2 linked regions of the Caenorhabditis elegans genome follow. The protein of the gene in region 1 interacts with the protein of each later gene in a pairwise test. Each region holds a gene or a part of one and is shown on either strand. Other genes may lie near its edges. The genes, in order: mef-2 and hda-4.

The links.
Region 2: the proteins of mef-2 (region 1) and hda-4 interact in a two-hybrid assay, tested with the Caenorhabditis elegans proteins (one study listed by BioGRID).

What each region holds. Positions count from the first base shown.
Region 1 is NC_003279.8:9,092,309-9,102,783, forward strand, and holds mef-2 (MEF2 transcription factor homolog), read left to right. Parts: upstream 1-3,648; 5' UTR 3,649-3,703; coding exon 3,704-3,757; intron 3,758-6,134; coding exon 6,135-6,247; intron 6,248-6,299; coding exon 6,300-6,716; exon of another isoform or gene 6,717-6,764; coding exon 6,765-6,988; intron 6,989-7,535; coding exon 7,536-7,750; 3' UTR 7,751-8,554; downstream 8,555-10,475. Other genes in the region: E3 SUMO-protein ligase gei-17, read right to left, coding at 8,867-8,925, 9,530-9,695, 9,957-10,094, 10,333-10,475. UniProt on the Caenorhabditis elegans protein: Transcription regulator. Binds specifically to the MEF2 element, 5'-[TC]TA[AT][AT][AT][AT]TA[AG]-3' in the regulatory elements of target genes, such as chemoreceptors str-1 and srh-234.
Region 2 is NC_003284.9:16,726,703-16,734,691, forward strand, and holds the start of hda-4 (Histone deacetylase 4), read left to right. Parts: upstream 1-2,856; 5' UTR 2,857-2,860; coding exon 2,861-3,001; intron 3,002-3,865; exon of another isoform or gene 3,866-3,998; intron 3,999-7,989. UniProt on the Caenorhabditis elegans protein: Responsible for the deacetylation of lysine residues on the N-terminal part of the core histones (H2A, H2B, H3 and H4).

The sequences.
Region 1 (10,475 bases):
CCTTCCTCCCCGTAAGCTCAAAAGCATGAGGAGCAATTTCTCAAAGCTTTTGGCTCAAAAGAGAGAGAGAGAGCAACATACTGCTGCTGCTGCTCACCGAGCACCCCGAGAGCCACAGCTTCAAAAGAGCCGAGAAAAAAAAAGAGAGAGAATATGTCAGTCAAAAGGGCGTGGTCTATCTCTCTCTCTCTCTCTCTCTTCCTCATTTTTCTCTCTTTTTTCTTTTTCTGCTTTTCTTCGCTTTTTTTTCGCTGTCCTTCCTCCTTTCTTTGTGTGTCATTTTCAGCCATTTTTTGTTGTTATTTCGGGTTCCGTGAGATCCCGACATAGCACTCGATGACGTCATTAAATTCTGAAATTCTCCGGATACCTAAACCATAACATTCCCGGAAATTAAATTTTTGAGTGGCGGGGAGGAAACGATTGGTTTTTAACGCCTACACGAACTCTTCGAGCCAGACATTCTTTTAACTTCAATCATTCTTTATGAGCCTTTCTAGAAGTACCTATAATCACTAGTTGATAAAAAATATTGAAATTGCTGAGAATAAACCTAGAGTTACCAAAAATTGAATGTAGAAGTTTAAAATATTTAGTACTAAATTTCATCGCTGGTGCTATTTTTGCAAGTACGCAAAAATACTTCATAAATATGTTAAAAACAGCTAAACATAATAGTGGAAACGAATGTGCCTGCCTGCCTGCTGCCTATTCGTCTGAGTGTTGTAATCTGAATTTGTTCTAAGTTGTCACTTTAAAATCTGAAAAAGTACAACATTTTTTAACGTTTATTCCGGAAGTAGGCAGGCATGTAGGCACGATACAGCCTCCTTGCTTGAGTTGATGACAACCAACAAAATCTGTATAATGCTAAAGAAGACTCCGAAAACTTCTCAATTGCCAAAAGTCTTCACTTCCGTCTCACAATGACGTGGATTCCCATATGATTTCCATGCTAATCCAATCCAGCAGTTTATATATCTTTAATCTCTTTTCAGAAATTTCCTATTTTAAGCTCACATTCAAACTTTCAGGTGAAATTTAAAATTCTGAGATATACTCAGGTCAAGATATTTTTTTCAACCAAAATTTATCCTCAGTTTTCTTTGATTTTTTGACATGGACATTTTCGAGATATCCGAGATTTCTCAAATGTAACCGAATATCTTCTTTCTCTTTTTTTCTAAATTTCTCTGTGTTTCTTTTATTTTCTCATTCTTCTCATCTCAAGCAAAAAATCGGTATTTCATTTGACTTTTATTGATTGATAATATATATGATTAGACACGGAAGAAGAGAAAATTAATGCCTAAAAAATGTATCTTCATCTCTTCAACTTATTCACTATCTCATCATTTGGGGGGTCATTTCATATCACATCTGAAGCTCCGCCCACTTTTTGTTTTTCACCTATTCGTCTCATTTTTGGACTAATCAACGCCTCACAATGTGGCAAATTTTTGAATAATTTTCAATGTTTTGTGGAATAAAAAATAATTACCAAAATATAAACCCCGATTTAAAGATTAAGTCTAACATGAATCTAAAATTTCGTAAATAAATTTCAATATTTCATTCAAAATCTAAATGTCTACGTCATCAATGTTCGTTCCGATTTTATAGTTTTATTGGCGTTGCTTTTTTGAGTCAACGCATTGCGTATTTATGTCCAAAAATTTTGTGCTCAACCATTTTGGAAAATTTTGCAAAGTTCCCCTCCGGGATCAACGTCAATCAGAAGTTGCTCTCGCAGCTCCAAAACCAAGAAAAAATTGTCGCTAATCTTTTTGGTGTAATGCATTTTTCTCCTCTTTTTTCTATCATCTTTTCAATTTTTCAAAAGACCGTTTGAAGTTTTTGAACCAAAAGTTCAGTAGGCCGAGTTAGGCTTTTCAGCTCTCCATCCGCCGGGGCGTGGAAAGAGGCGGTTGGGAGGCCCCACATTACACCTCGTGGACTATTTTGAAGTTCATAAAGGAAAAGTTTCTAAAGAAGTTTTCGAACAAAATAATACATGAATTTTCTACAATTTTTCACAAAAATCTAGGAAAATAAAACAAAAGAATATGATTCAATCAATGATATTTTTTTCTTGTCATTTCATCCTCTTTCTCTCAAACTCTTTTCCACAACATTTTTCCCGATTTTTTCAACTAGCAAATCATGTGTCTTCTCAATCTTTCCCTCTTCATTTTTTTGTCACTTCTGAAAATGAGAAAACTGCGGGCAAGAAAACTGAAAATTTGATTAAAATTGAAGATAATAAGTTTTTTGGTGTTTAGGAGAAATTTTGAGAAATTAGTGAATAAATTGTGAAAGGTTTGTGTGACATGACCACTATCAAAAGATTTAATCTTTTCTCGATTGACAAGTTACTGTAGGTTTCTGCTAATGGGTCATGGGGTACTTATATGGTGTTAAGTAATCATTGGCAGGTAGTCCCTGTTGGATCTCCTGAAACCGTGGATAAGCGTAGTTTTGAGAAAGTCTAGAAAAAGTCTGAATCCGTTCTCCAAAGCGTTACAGTGCGAGATTTGCCGTCATAGTGTTCACACCTCACCTACCGTTTTCCTTTTTCTAAGGCGTATATTTTCCGTGAAGGCAAGAAGGCAGGCTCGTGTAATTCGTACCTTCGGAACTGCCTAACTTTGACTGCTGCATAAGTTTTGACTGCGTAAGGAAAATCATGTTTTGATTTCATCGGTATGATCTCACAATAATTACCTAGAATACACTCTTCGTATTTCCAACGTTGCTTTTAATAAGTAATATGAATACTCTTACTTAAACAAAACCGAATATGAATGTGTTGTCAACAGAGGATTTTGCAAGAGATTTGAATGTCATGTGGCATTAATATAGATTATGAAAAATCATGGTAACCTCCAGAGATTCTATTGGTAATAAATGAGCCACAAGTCTGAAGTATTGGTAGTTATCGATTAATGTGGTTTAACATCAGAAAATTGTGATTCTTCTGGCGGGGTCAGTCGAGAGAAACTGATTCAAAGAGAATCCACAAAAAGATTTGTGGAATTTCAAAAGTTGCAAAATCTTAAAATAATATTTGATGTCGTACTATAACTTGGTAATAAACTAAAACACGGAAAATTCTTCTTATCAGAACTGTGAATTGATCTAGTTTCGACCTCTTATCATCATCTTTTCGTATTCCATCTAATTCTCTCTTCTTCCCTAAAGCCCCGCCTCCTTTTCCGGGGAGAGTAATGGGCGGAGCTAGTTGTCTCCACGAATATTTGGTCATTTTCTGTTCTCAATTTATTTTTTTGGTCTCTCTTCATGATAATCAAAAATGTAACATTATTCATCAATTCATCTTGAAACTTCTGGATTCGTCTGTGTCTCTCTGACTCAATCTCTATCTCAATTTTCTATTTGTTTTTGATGATCATCAGTGGTCACGGGTACTCTCTCTCTCCCTTTTTCATTTATTTTTTCACATTTTCTCGCCATCTCATCGTCTGCGTCTCAATTTTTCTCAATCTTTAACTCTGTTTCTCGATTCATAACACCTCTCTTTTCGTTTCTCCATGCAGTTTTCTGTGTTCTGGTTTCACCCGCAATTTTTTCTCATTATATGGATCTGAAAATCTGTTTTTTTCTGAAATTAAAATTTATTTTATTAAGGTTCTCCCCGCTTGCAAAAATTCAAGGTTCGAGTAATCGTTACGTGAAGACGGCGATGGGTCGCAAGAAAATTCAAATCACCAGGATACAAGATGAGAGAAATCGACAGGTTGGTTTTTTTGCTTTTTTTTTGTTGAAAAAAAAAATTAAAAATTTGTTAGTTTAAATTTTTTTTTTACAATACGTTTGCTAAAAACAAGTGACTTTCTTTTTTTGCTATCAAAATTTGCTTCAGCAGATTTCGAAGTTTTATAAAATTTGACAATTTTTTTGGCTTCTAGTGAACAAAATTTTTAGGCAATAGCAAGCTTTACAATAATTTAATTTTTATCAAAAAATTGTCAGAACATTTATGAACATTTTCTTTTTCTGAAAGAAAAATAAACAACAAATTGAGATAATCTTTATTCCGTCGTCTGATCCTAGTATATTCATTTTAAATCTCATGATACCTGGAAATTAGTATTTGTTTTTTATGACCCTTTTTCTTCTAGAACTTAATTTTCAACAAATTTAGAAATTCATAGGTTCTTTTGAAATTATAAAATTATTTAATGAATGTCATCTGCTGAAAAATCTATAATTCTACAATAAATCCTTTTTTGTGGTAAATTCAAAACTTTGAAAAATAATTCGAAAAACATCAAGGTACTTTCTTGACAAATTAACATGTTTTTGCCTTTCGTTTTCTCAAAAACTTGAAAATCTTTTAGTCATTTGTCAAAAAATCGTTCATTTCTCTCACCAATCTTGTGATTGTCACGTGGAAAACTGTGAGAAGTGGAGAATTCCTTTCGTTGAGGAATAAGATTAATGATTATTGCGGTATGGAGTAGGTGGTCGTGGTGTGTTGTGTGATGATCTAAAGTACAGTAATCTACAGTAATTTTCAATTTGGAAATTTAAGTTGGAATATTGCCAGATGTGCTAAAATTGCAGTAGTATCATATTAAAACTTTTGCGAACATTTTTTAAATTTCATCGATAGATTTTGCAAGCCAGCCAAAAAATGCTATGACTTTTATATTTTAGTTTTTTGATAATTTGCACATTGTAGGTATACGAACCTGCCCAAATTACTCAAATCCAGATTTTCTGAAATTTCGGTAATTTGCCAAAAGTTTTAGAGGGTTTAATTAATTCGAAGTAGATTTTTGACCCATTTTTCATCGCATAAAATATGAGTTTTAGGAAATTTGACTTTGAAATATCGAAATAATGATTAATGTTAACAATAGACTATAATGTTAATAAGATGTGTTCATACTCCAATCATTTTCCGGTTACAATAATATTCCCTAAGTGTTTTTTTCGAGAGCTCTAGGATTTATTGAATTTTTTAAATCTTTCAATTTTTTCGCCAACTTTTCTATTGTCGGAAAATGAGTTTAACATGCATGTTGCTGCAAAATGTTAATTTTTCAAGCTCCAGCTGTCTTAAACCTCGAAGGTTAGATCTTCAAAAACTTGGTTAATTGTTGATTGAGTTGTGCAAGAAAATTTCTGAAAATTTTTAACTTGCCTGTTGCTCACTGAATTTAAGTTCCGTATAAGTGACTTAACTTTTCCAATCATTCTAGGACATTTCCATGTTGAAAAGGTCACCATTTCCTTTCTCATTTTTTTCATAAAGGAATCTGAAGCATAAAAGTCCTTGTGCTCTTTTTTTTTCTCCACCCGCCTCCTCTTTCTTCGCCTTCTTCTTCTTTTCATGCTCTTCAGATGACGTCATCAACGCGTCGTCGCCATCTATCTCTCTCTCCACCTCTCACACAATCTCTCGTCTCTGACGACATCGAGCCAAGAGAGCCAGAGAGCACATAGAATCGAGAGATTTCAGATTGAAAAGAGAGGAAAAAACAAGTTTGTTTCTCTATCTCTGTCACTCTCTCTTCTTGATGATAGGAGAGCCTGAAAAAGCAGGCAAAGCGAAACGAAAAAAGGAGGGGGCGACTATTTTTAGAATCGATACAGCACCAAAATAGAATAATGACGACGGAATTGGAAACTGATGAACTGAAATAAAAGACATTAGAGAGAATTAAAGAAAAATATGAAAACAGCTGGAACTCCTTAATTAATTAATGCTGCTGCTCAAAATAAGCGTGGGTGGAGAATAACAAATGAGCTGGGTCCTAATTAGATTTTATTAGAAAAAAATAGAAAAATTCATTAGCAAAATTAGAAATAAATTTGCAGGCCTATTTAGGGAAAGATGAACACGTGTTTTTGGTTCTATTGGGTTTTCTCCAGAAAACTCAGTGTGCTTTTGCTAATTTTGAGGTTAGGAGCAAACATTGACCAATCAGGGAACACCGGGTGGGTGTGGCCATGATTGCTGATTGGTCAAGACAACACTTTTTTTTTAGAAATGACCGACATATCATTATTATTAAAAAGAATCAATTTGAGAAATCCTTTTTAGAAAAGAAAAACATTCAAAAAAAGCAAATGAAAATATGCAAATTTCTATGTTAATATTTCAGGTGACATTCACCAAACGAAAGTTTGGATTGATGAAGAAAGCCTACGAATTATCGGTTCTCTGTGATTGTGAGATTGCACTCATCGTCTTCAACTCAACTAACAAACTATTTCAGTAAGTTTTAATTGAATTGGGATGCTAGATATTAAAATAATAACAATTTCAGATATGCCTCAACTGACATGGATAAGGTATTGTTGAAATACACTGAATACAATGAACCTCATGAATCCCGTACTAATAATGACATCATGGAAGCCTTGAATCGAAAAGAAGGCAATCAGGGAGGCGGAAATTCGGATGATGAAAGCCCTGGACCATCAACATCACCTGTCATTCAAATAACAATGCCTGCTGTTGTTAATGGACATAGTTCTAATAATTCGGTGGCTTCTGCAGCTTCTGCTTCTGCTGCCGCTGTTGCAGCAGCAGCAGCCGCAGTTGCAGCAGTTGAGGGAACATCTTCGGGTGCGGCTGCTGCAGCGGCTGCACTACAAGCATCAAATGCTCAACGACATCATAATTTGAACTTGTACCAGAATTTGATATTTAATCCCAACTACACTCGCCATTTGAACCAAAGGTACGGTTTTTGAATATTTTGGTATATTTTTCATGTATTTATTTCCAGAAATGATCCTCTGTCCTCTACATCTGTTGCTCCTTCCTCATCCTCATCAAAACATCTCGATTTTCCTCCATCAACTTCATTTGCCTATGACACGTCACGCCTTCATCCAATTGCCGCTGCTGATGCTGATTGTGATCTTGTACCATCATCAAGAGCTGCAGCTGATCAAAATATTTGGTCATCTGCATTACAACAACGCCCTGTTTCACAGCCTGCACCTAGTAGTAAGTTTGTGGAAATTAATTTTTACAATATCAGGCTTAGGCTTAGAACCTATCAATTTCAATGCGCAAGTAATGAACAAAACTAATTTTTTGGCACAAATAGGAAATAGGGATTAGAAATAAATGGTGGATATAACAGAACGCATTTTAACCGATTCATAGTCGGCATCCTAAGTTCGAACGCCAGAAGAACATACTAGGCTTTACTAAAATTTTAAAATATCTCTTCGGAGTTTTTTTTTCAAGTGTTAGATGAATTTTTGGTAGAAAAACTGATAAAAGAAAATTTCGGCTACTTTTGGAAAAACTTCTAAGATCTCGTGCATAAACGGTTTCCCAAAAAAGAAGTTCAAGTAGTATATACTCATATATTCACAAGGTCATTTCTATTATTAAAACTTTGAATCTATTCCCGGCCATTGAAATTTTGGAAAATATGGGTTAGGTACAAATGCATCACAGAGTTCATCGAATCAATTGTGGTTTTAGAAAAATGGGAAGAATATATAAATTTAAATTCAAAAAATTATTATTTTCTATTTTACAGTAAGCAATTCATCAACAAACGGAATCTCAAACGGAACTTCATCACTCTTATCTCCAAATGTCAGCTCATTAAATGGTCATTCAGTATTAGATTTAGGTGGTCCAAATCTACCATATAAATTGGATCCAAATACATATGTCAAAATGGAACCACATTCACCACCTGAAAAACGTCCAAGAATTACAACAGAGTGGAGACCACAGCAATTGACTTGATAACTTCTTGTTAAATTTTTATTTTTAGCTGTCTGTCACTATTGTTTAATTAAGAGATGAGACGACGCTCCTTTTTGCAACTATTTGTAATTCATTCCGGAGTTCGCAGAATTTTACTATTTTGAAAATATTTTTGTGCAATTTCCGACCCAGAAATACGGTACGCGGTCTGCCCGTGTTCAAGGATTACTGTAGTCTCTCGCTCCACATGTTTTTCTCGTTTACTTGAATTTCCCCCATTTTCCTCACGTTTCGCCCTGTTGTCGAAGTGGAGTGCAACACTACAGTACTCTTTAAAGGTCTTCCCCGTGCATCTCATTTGGTATGCCGATCGTGTCGAGACCGTTTACCGTAATTTTGCATTAGAGCGTTGTTTTATTTCGAAATTTTTGTGATTCAAGACATAAAACTTCCTCTCCGACATTCCACGTATTGCTCCTCTTCTTTTTTTTTAAATTTATCTCTGCAAACGTGCTCAATTGTTAATTTTCGATGGAGCCCGTATGCATAAAGACAAAAATCCAAAAAATTTTGATATTTTCATGTTCTGAAGAAAAAAACATAAAATGCGGGTATTCTTCTCTCATTTTTTATTTGTTTTTATTTTTCCTATATTTATTTTATTTTTCATTCTTTCATTTTTGTCTCTCTCTCTTGTGATTTCTCCCTGTATTTTTCCCCCTAGTCTTCTCACTGATTCGGTAGTTTTTTCTCTCAAAAATGTTCCCATTTCGCCACCCCGGTCTAATTATTATAATTGATTATTTGTTCTTTAAAACAAATATGTATAAATAAATCGATTCATTGGAGAACAAATGCATCCATTTAAATGGAAAAAAATATGGTATCAGGAAAGCCGCATGGCCTAGATTCTTACAATTTCTAGGCCACTTGTGCATTTTCACGGCTGTGGAAAAACATCGGATGAAATGGATGGAAAACTAGAAACACGATTTGGGGGCTCGATTTGAAAATTAAAACATATTGAACAAAAATCACGGAGAGAAATGTGAGATATTTGATTGGGTCGGTTGAAGTTCCGAACATTAAATTAAAGCCAAATTAACTCAAAAAAAAAACAAAAGAATGAGATTAAGCAGTATGATTGGAAATCAATCAATTCTGACGATACTGCTGCTGCGGGTATTGTGGAGGATAATATGCAAATGCACCACCTGAAACTTTGAATATTGAAAATCTAATTTTTAAATAAAAATCTAAAATTAGTGGATTGTGTTTTTCAATTGTATTTAAAAGATTGCATACAGGATACTCAGCTTCATTTAACAAAAACATTACCGTCACAAAATTCTAGTTAAAGTTCATCGAATCAGCCGTATAATGCAGACAAATATAACTTACTAGACTAAAGCACAAGCAGGATTCTGTTAAAAATTGTAAATCGTGGATATGGGTAAAAGATGCACATAAATCAAATGAACTAGACGGCACAAAAAATACAATTCATGCATTAATTCCGTGAGCCACGTGGATTGCGCATAGTGACTCCTGAGTGATCGATCATCAGGTGTCCATTTACCAAAAGTCGAGATGCATTTGCTTGTATTTCAGCCATGGAAAGAATTCGTGGTGGTTGGATGTTATTGGTGTCACCTGAAAGTGAGGCCAAACCAAGTAAGGGAAATAAATATATATTTGCATGCAGGATGGTTGCAATTACACAACAAGTTTACTCGCTATTAACTGAAGATCGTGAAGTGATTGTTTTGATGTTTAAACATAATATACAAAAACTTTGTAAGGTGTACAAAAAATTACCGTTTGACATTTGCTGTTGAGCATAAAAAGACGGAGACATGATTTGTGGTGACTGCTGCTGCTGTTGTTGCTGCTGAAGATGGTGCTGCTGCATATGAACCATTTGATTGTTTCGCCCTATGAGCCCGTTTTGCATTTGGAAGTGTGGTGCCTGGTTTATCATTGGCTGAAAACGAGAGTTCAATTTTTAAAAAATTTTGAAAAATATTTGTTAAGTTTATAATTCCAGACGTAAAACTAGTGCATTTTTTTCAATTCGACAGAATTCTAGTGCAGTGGACAATCATCTAAGTATCTTATCCAATTAATAGGGGCTTGAACAAAGAAAAAAAAGAGATTAAAACAGGATTTTTTTGTTCTGTCGTTATGAAAAAATATCACTAGAGTATTAGTGCGTGTGGTAGACTATTAACACGTGCTGGCATACCGAATATCCGTATTGTGATGTAGGTGTTTGAGATCCTGAAGAGGGATTCATATAAGATGATTGAGCAAAATTCAATGGATGTGTCGTATGGTGAAGTTGAACAAGCGGAGATGATTGTGTTGATGAATTTGCTGACTGCTGCAACAAACAGACAGTTTAGTGAGTGTGGACAGGGAGAAGCAGATGTTAGTTTAACAATATCATATAATAATATAATCAAATATATAATTCAATCTTTGTATTAGTTTTGGTTAAAAACGGATAAGTTATAACTAGAATACTGATTTCAGTCAAATTAAGAACAAATCCTCTTAAAACTATGGAAAATAACTAACAATATTGGCTCTTTTGAAGATTTGTGTTTTTCTGAACTTACTTCTCCTATTTTGTTCAGCGCATCCCGGATAGTTTTACTTGCACCCTCGTTCATTCCCATTTGCGTTGAGGCCATTCCAGATGGAGATGAGCCAACTGGCATTTGATTCTGTTGAGACATCTGACGCATTGGAAGATTTGCAC
Region 2 (7,989 bases), on another chromosome or scaffold:
GTCTCACGTGTCGAACAAAAAAACTATCATGTTATTTTTGGAATTTTCCAACACCGAAATTTGCAATCTTAATTGATATGTATTTATGTAGATCTCTCAAATGTTTGGGGTGGTCTGGATTGTTGATGGCGTGTGTATGTGTATGTGTGCCCCTTCTCCTCCTTCTTCTAGTCTATTTTCGTCTCATCGTACGTCCTGTCCCTCTGACTGCGTCTCTCATTCTCCGACACTCTTCTATGTGCATCTATCGGGGGGCGCCCCGTGTTTCTCTTTCTCGGCGAGTGAGTATTTGGTGAGTGTTTGTGTGTGTGTGTGTGTGTGTGAGCGAGAAGGCTCCCCCCAATGTTCTCGCCGCTCTCTTCACTCCCGCACACTATCAGCCATTGCGCCCCACCGTCGTGTCTGCGTCTCGACGTCTCAGACCAAATGTCTGACGCTCTCACAACCAACGCTACCTCAGTCTATATCTCTTGTGACACTCTCTTCACTCTTAACTTGGCTTCATTATTGAAAGTGATGCGATGGTTATCATCTGTTAATTTGAGATTTAATTACTCGTTACCGTAAAGGTCATTATTGTTGTAAAACGTTTAATATATAATTTGTTATCACCTCTACTTTTTAAATTACGTTTTTTTATTTTATTTTTATCATTAGTGTAAAACAAAAAGTTAAAATATAAATACTGATGTACTTCAGTAGACTTCAAATTTTGTTAAACTCATTCTGAACTGTAACCATATTTTGAAAAGAGCCAATAATTTTATATACTTTATTTTTGAATTTACTTTAACACTGTAATTTTTTGCAGAAGAGTTTAATAATTTTATAGGAATTTTCAATGGGAGAAAAATACTGTGTTGAAATTTTTTTAGAATGTTAAAAACTCATTTGAAACAATAACATTTTCTGTCATATTATAATAGTTTTAAAAGGTTGAATACTTTTAGCAATATATATTTTTAATTTCATTGCTTTTTCCAATATACGAACATTTTTAATTTGATTTATCAGTTAGATGTACAAAGTCATTATTTTATTAAGATTATTCAGATTATAGTATTTTACACCAAAAATTACATTTGGTAGCCTTAGTTAGAGAATAATATCAGAGTTCAGTTATAAACTTCACATTTTTCTACCAATTTTGAGAAACGTTCTTTAAACTCAAAAAAAAAAACGCAATCCAAAATCAGAATATTACGTTCAAATCGAAATATACCCTTTGAGGATTTTTTTCAAATGTTTTATCATAAACCATACATTTTGCAAGTAACTTTTCGTCGTGCCGATTTGTTTCTGATCTTTAGAAATTGATAATTTTAATGTTGATAAAAATTATATTTTACTTCTCTTCAAATCAGTTTCTGAAAACTAGAATCGAGAATTGATCGTTTCTTTTCACGGCGGATTCTGTGTCTCATTTCTCCAATTGGAATTGAATAGCTAACATAATGCGGACTCTTTCTCTGTCAGCATCAAAAAGTTTCTTTATATCTTCTCCTTTCTTTGGTCTTTCCCCCACTTTTTTTTCCGCAGCCCAATTCTCATTCCAACTTCTGATGTTGAATTTTGCATTGTGGTTGCTAGTTTCCAATTTTTACCTTTTTCTTGTTTTGCTAGAGTACATCTATGACGTACTTCGTCATAAATTACTGATGAGAGCTTCTGCGTCCGTTCAACACCTCCGCATTCCGGTGGTGAAATGAGATATTCTGCAAAAAGTAATTGAATATGAAATTTATAAACAATTAGGTTTTGAGGGGAAACTTTTGCTTCGGTTATTTGATTTCGGAAGGGGTAGACGATCTGTTCAAAGGTTTGTAAAATCATTGGACATTTTCGAGCAAAATTTAGAGTAAATCGGTGCATATTTTCTGAAAGTACAACAACCAAAAGTTCAAATTGATCTAACGGAGTATATAATTTGCTTTCACTGTTAGAGCTCAGTTTTTTTAACCAAAAATTACATTTCAAATGTTTATTTAGCGCCAAAGGATAATTCTGAACATTTTCAGTGCATCTTTCCAGTTTATTCGATTCCCTAAAAACCTGAAAAAAGTGACATTTTCCAAAAACAATTCAAATTAAATAAATTTATGCAAGTATTCAAAATGATTTTTATGTTTAGAAAACAATCATTTGTTGACGGTTTTTTGAAAAAAAACCATTTTTTAAAAGATTTGTTTCCTGTGTCCCACTAGAATGTTGAAAAAATAAGTTGTGTGATGAGCCAGAAAAGTAACAGAAGCTGAAGAGACCCCGACTTTTGCTCCTTTCCGACGACTCTTTTCATTTTTAAACTCTGTCGCGGGTGGTCTTTTCATCTTCCGAGGTAGCATTGTTTTGAAAACTTGCTTTAACACCATTTTTCTCCCATTCTTTTCACACCTTGCTCTGCACAAAACTCTTTGTTTTTTGTTTTTTTTTTGATTTTGGCTTGTTTCAGTCTTTGAGATTTTTATCTCTGTTCTAGTCTTCCATATGTGTAAAAAATATACAAACACAGAGGCTACGAGGCTATCAATAAATGATACCAGCTGTTATTATATCATTTCTTCTTGAAACCGGAGCTTCCTTTACACAATGCCGCAAATTCTTAGTTTCTACTTTCACACCTATCATGTTTTGAAAGGGCTTTTTTTGAAAATTGTTATACATAATAAATATTGCAACATCTCTCCTTCAAACATTTTAATTTTTTAATAACTTAACATACATTTATTTTTAATATAAGTGTATTGAACCTTCGAACATAAATTTTCAAACTAGAGTATATGCCAATTTATTTTCATAATTATATTCTGGCATCATCTATAACTCGGATCATTTTTAATATTGTTTCCATTTTTGCAGGCGTATGGAAGAAGCCAGCTCCTCAACGGGGAGCGCTGGTGGGGCTGGACCAAGTGTTCCCAACTTGCCATCAACATCAGAAGCTGCCATAGGACAGACGAATCTTGAGCCGGAAAGTATTGCTCTTCTTCAATCACAGCTTCAGGTGAGTCTATTTTTTTTATTGTATAACTTTCTAATCTGGATCTAACTTCTAGCATCAGTCAATTTTTGGCAAAAGTTTGTTATTTTTATTTAGCATCACAGTCTTTATTTTTAAGATTCATTTTTTGTAGATTCACCATAAATTCTATAAATGTTTTTTGAAAATTAAAAAAAATCAGAAATTGATTGGCTAGTTTTTGATTAAAAAAGTTGTGAAGAACTTGATAAACTTTGTTATTAAGTCTCTAAATAGTTGAAAATATTTTTTAAAAAACCTTGGCTAATATGACCGAATTGTTTTTTTTTTCAAAAAATAAAAGGAAAATAAAAAGAAATCTACATCCAATTAAACCGTTATCATCTTTAAAAACTGAAAAAAAATTTGTAATAAAATGAATGCGAATTTTCTAGATTTTTTGATGATTTTTTTTTGCAATTTTGAACAGAATAAAATAAAACTCGAACTTAGAGTTAGTATGTTTAGTTCACAGTAAAACAGCTGAAAATTTGGCAAACAATATTGCAAAAAAAAAACAACTAAATATTACCGGAAAATGCCTGATTTGCGCTAGGAATTTTAAACTAGTTAATTCATTCAAATAATTTTTTGCAAAATTGGAATCAAAAACTTTAAAAAATATATTAGGTCATTATGGCCCATTTTCTTAAATCTAAAAGAAAATCCCAATTGACTTTACCGTTAGCTTTGTATGTTCTACATAGCATCATAGCTCAAGTATTACGTATCGTTCCAAAATACATTCCCATCAGATGAGTGTATTTTCAGCTAGAAATAGTCCAATGACACACCCACTCTCTCTCTCTCTCTCTCATGCCTTTTTTTCTCTCTAAAAACGGGCGAAATGAAAGATAGGAGAAGAGGTTATTTCCGGATGTGTCGAAAATAGAAGCCTGGAAAACCTGACGATGTTGTTTGTCGGTGTTTATCGATGAGAAGAGGGGTACATCATGATGAAAGGAGAGAGAAAAAAGAAAAAAATGGAAGAGAAGGGGAAGGAAAAGCAAGAGCTTGAAAATAGTTACATTCTCTACTATTCTGCCTTTTTTCTATTTTTGTCTCCTGTTTTCCCATGTTTCTTGGAAATTTTTTTTCAGAAGGACACCTCTTTGAGTTTGTCGAATTTTAGATCGTTTCAAGGAAACAACTTGAAAAAATGCTCAAATCTCTTTTTTAATATAGATGTTGAATGAAAATTGAATACACGAAATATTTCACTATTTTTGAATTTAAAAAAATGCCTAACCAGTAGATAAAATAGCACTTTTCTTGACGGAAAATTTTCACTGAACTTGGGGGCTCAGATCTTAGAATTTTCATATTCTGCACAAAGTAAACAATATTGATTAATTTTTTTCATGTAAGTTCACAGTTTTTAAAAAAAGAATGTTTTGTACTTTATACTAACGTAGTGTCACAATTTTCCTATATTTTGAAATACTTTGTAGTTCAATGTCTCGTTCAATACTTCATAATAAATTCCTGTCTAGCCCCCTTCTTGGTTCTAGAATTTCAAAAATTCATCATCTTCTACGCACCTTCAAGCAGCCTTATTGCCATTTCAGAGATCAGTTCACGAGACGGCGAGACCAATTTCCGAAGAATTCTTTCCGTGTTGCGCAGAGCCGGTGAATTCCAAGTGAACTGGGACTCTGAGAAAGATCTCTTCATTTATATAAAACGCTGAAAAACACGAGTCCCGCGCTGGATTTTTTTTTCTAGCTAGCTATTTAATACTCGAAAATAGATTATTTTTTCGAATTTTGCCTTCAGTATCTTCCTTGTTAAGTATCATTAAACGGTACTTGTGTATTATATGCCTTTATCCCGAAGTTAAGTAAAATCTCAGTAAATTTCTCCAGTAATAGTTTTTTTAGTATTCTTCCTGTACCTAACACCCCTGCCCAGTAGCTCACCAAAACGTAAAACTACGTATTAATTTAATCTGATTCAATTTTGAAAGATACTATGTATCTACATACTATGACTAATCAAATTTCCAAATTTGATCGTTCAAACTCAACTTGACAGGTTTTTGATCAAGTAGACTAGACTCGCCTAATTAGTTTTTTTTTGTTGTGAAACCCGGTGTCTAGATATCATTTATCTAATGAACTTGATAACTCGTAGAGATAGAACAAGTTATTTTGGTGCAGTTTTTCATTGAAAAACTTCACAATAACGAAGGAATTCTGAAATGTTTTCAACAATTTAGGAAATTTCCACAATTTTGTAAACGAATTTTATTTTTGAAAAAATTTACAAATGTCGTTAAGGACTATTTTAAGTCTCTTCTAGCAATACTAACCTTATAAATTTGCCTGTCGATTGAACTTGACTATAGACTTTTTATGGATTACATTGAAGAGTAAACTATAATATTTTTTCTTTACTTCTTCCCCCGGCTCTCTCAGAATTTATCTATTTACAAAAAAGTTACATCTATACACTGACTTGACTCTAGTTTCCTTGTTTTCCAGCACCTCGTTTATATTTTTGTTTCTCGATAAAAGTGCATCGAACAAAAAACAAGATCTTTTGGCGACAAGTAATCCAAGTACTTCTGACCTCATTTAGCAGTGGTGACACTCATTTTTCTCGCCTCGTCAAAACATGATCGACCTCATGTGATAGAGGAAGCGATTTTGAGACATCAAGTAGCGGCAAAAAAAGCACATGCTTTTCGCCCCACTACTTTCTACTTTTTTTTTCTTCTTTCCGCTCCCAATTTTTTTCTTACTTCTTCTCATTCTCACACTCCAAAACACAAAGCTGATATCCCTCGACTTCTACACTACATATAAATGTTGTGTGTTTCCAACTCTCTCTCTATCTTCCTTTATCTCTGTGCATCGTCGTAGTGTCATCGTCGTGGGGGATTGCTCGTGTTTTTGCCGTGCTCCCATTGAAAATCTATTCATAGATATTAAAGATACTAGATGTTAGTTACCCATGCACGTCTTTTTCCTGTCCTCCTTCTCTTTCTCTCTCTCTCTCTTTTTCGTTTTGCTCTTCTCAACTTGTTGATAACACAAAAAACCACATTGCCCCAAAATAGGAACAAGGCAAGATTCAAAGATAAGAGATTTTTGTTTCCATTTTGGTAGAGTGTTTGTCACTTTTCAGTTTGTTCGTGGCAAGTTTTGTTTTTTTGGGCTTTTTTAAATACACTGAAGAAAAATGCACCGTTTGTGTAAACTGATCAATTGTACCTAATTTGTTTTTTGTAATAGTATAGCTCACACTTCACGGTCATCCTTGAAAAATTCAAACAGGAAGTTAAAGTTTAACTTTTAATAAGCCTATCAATATTTAACAATTAGACAACACATTTAGCTCATTTTTATTTTTGAGCTTCAACGTTGATTTTCATACCTTCTCTTTTATATTCAAAAAGTTCACGTTTTTAGATAGTGCACTTCAGTTGGCACAATGCATCGCACCTGAAATTAAAATCTGCCCTGAAATAGAGTCGAAATGCCTCAGCTCATTTCATTCGTAAAAAAAAACGTTATAATATTTAGACACCGTAACATATTTTTTTAAAAGATGAACAAAAAGCATTGTCATTATGCAAATCTCTAAATTTCCGTAGTTGTAAATTGCAAATGCACCATCTCTCACGTTTCTGAACTATGTTTATTTAAATAAAACAGTGATCTCAGATGCTCTCAAAGACGAGAAAGCGCCAAGTTTTTTTTTGATCAGACTGTACATTTTCAAAATTTGCTTTTCACTCGGAAAAGTTCATCTCCTTATTCTACATCACTTCCTGAGCGGACGGTACGAGGAGAAACTCGCGCCTCCTAAAAATAGTGTGCGCGCAGTTTTTGCGTCGATTTTGTGTTTGCCTTGGTTCTCACTCTCTCTCTTTCTCCACTTCCATCTGTATTCACCGTTTTTTCTAATATTTATGACGAGATCCACACAACGTTTTGTGTGTGTGTGTGTGTATATGGATGGTATCGATTTTTATCGGACAGTCCGAGACACAGCACACTGTTTTTTCCGCTTTTGTGTGTGTGTGTGTGCCTATGATGTGGAGCCAAAAGGCTTGTTGGTAAATACGGTGCAGAAATAACAGGAAATGCTGAATTGAAATACGGGGAAAGGAGCTCGCATGCAAAATGCATAAAATACTTGACTATCACACTTGGCCAAACTGGAACACACGTTCTTGTTTTCGTAAAGAGCAAACATATTTTTTCAGCTACTGCTCATTTATTGATTTTTTGAAGCTTCAGCTTTCCAATTTAAAAATACGATTTTTGCACATTCTTTCACAAAACATATCACTTTCTCCTTTTCTGATCGCTTTTTTGAGCCTCATCATTTCAAAAGTCCATTTTTTTCAGAAAATAAGCCGAATATCTATTGCAAGTCTTGGAGCCATCCGGCGGGGTCACCCATTTTGTATACCTTTTTTTCTAAGTTGAAAACTTTGTCTATTTGATATAAATGTTATATATATCTAGCCGCACTTTTTCTTAATAGTGTTCTAATTTTAAAATATTTTTCACTTTTCACAAGCTTCTCGGTTTGAAAATTCTCTTTAATCTCCATCAAAACATGTTTTCTTGGCATTTCTGCTCACTTGTTTATCCAAATTTGTCTTCTTTCCACTTCCAAAAGTAGTATTATGCGAGAAAATCTTTGGATTTGCCAGCGCTTATTTACCAATTTAAAAATAGAATATTACTACTACACCTAGTCTTATCAGAGGTTGACATTATCACTACATTGCTCAAACGGGTTCTAGCTTTACGTCTACATTTTCGGGCTCTCGTATTTTCACCTGGATAAATGTATAAATGTACATACATATGTATGCCTGAGATACACATATACAAACTACAAAAAATGATTAGTGTAAGGTTTCTGGCTTCCCGTTTTAGACTTTTTTTTTTGCTTTCGAGAATGTGAGAATGTCTCATTTCGTTTAATTATTCCAACAAAAGCCAGCTCGCGTG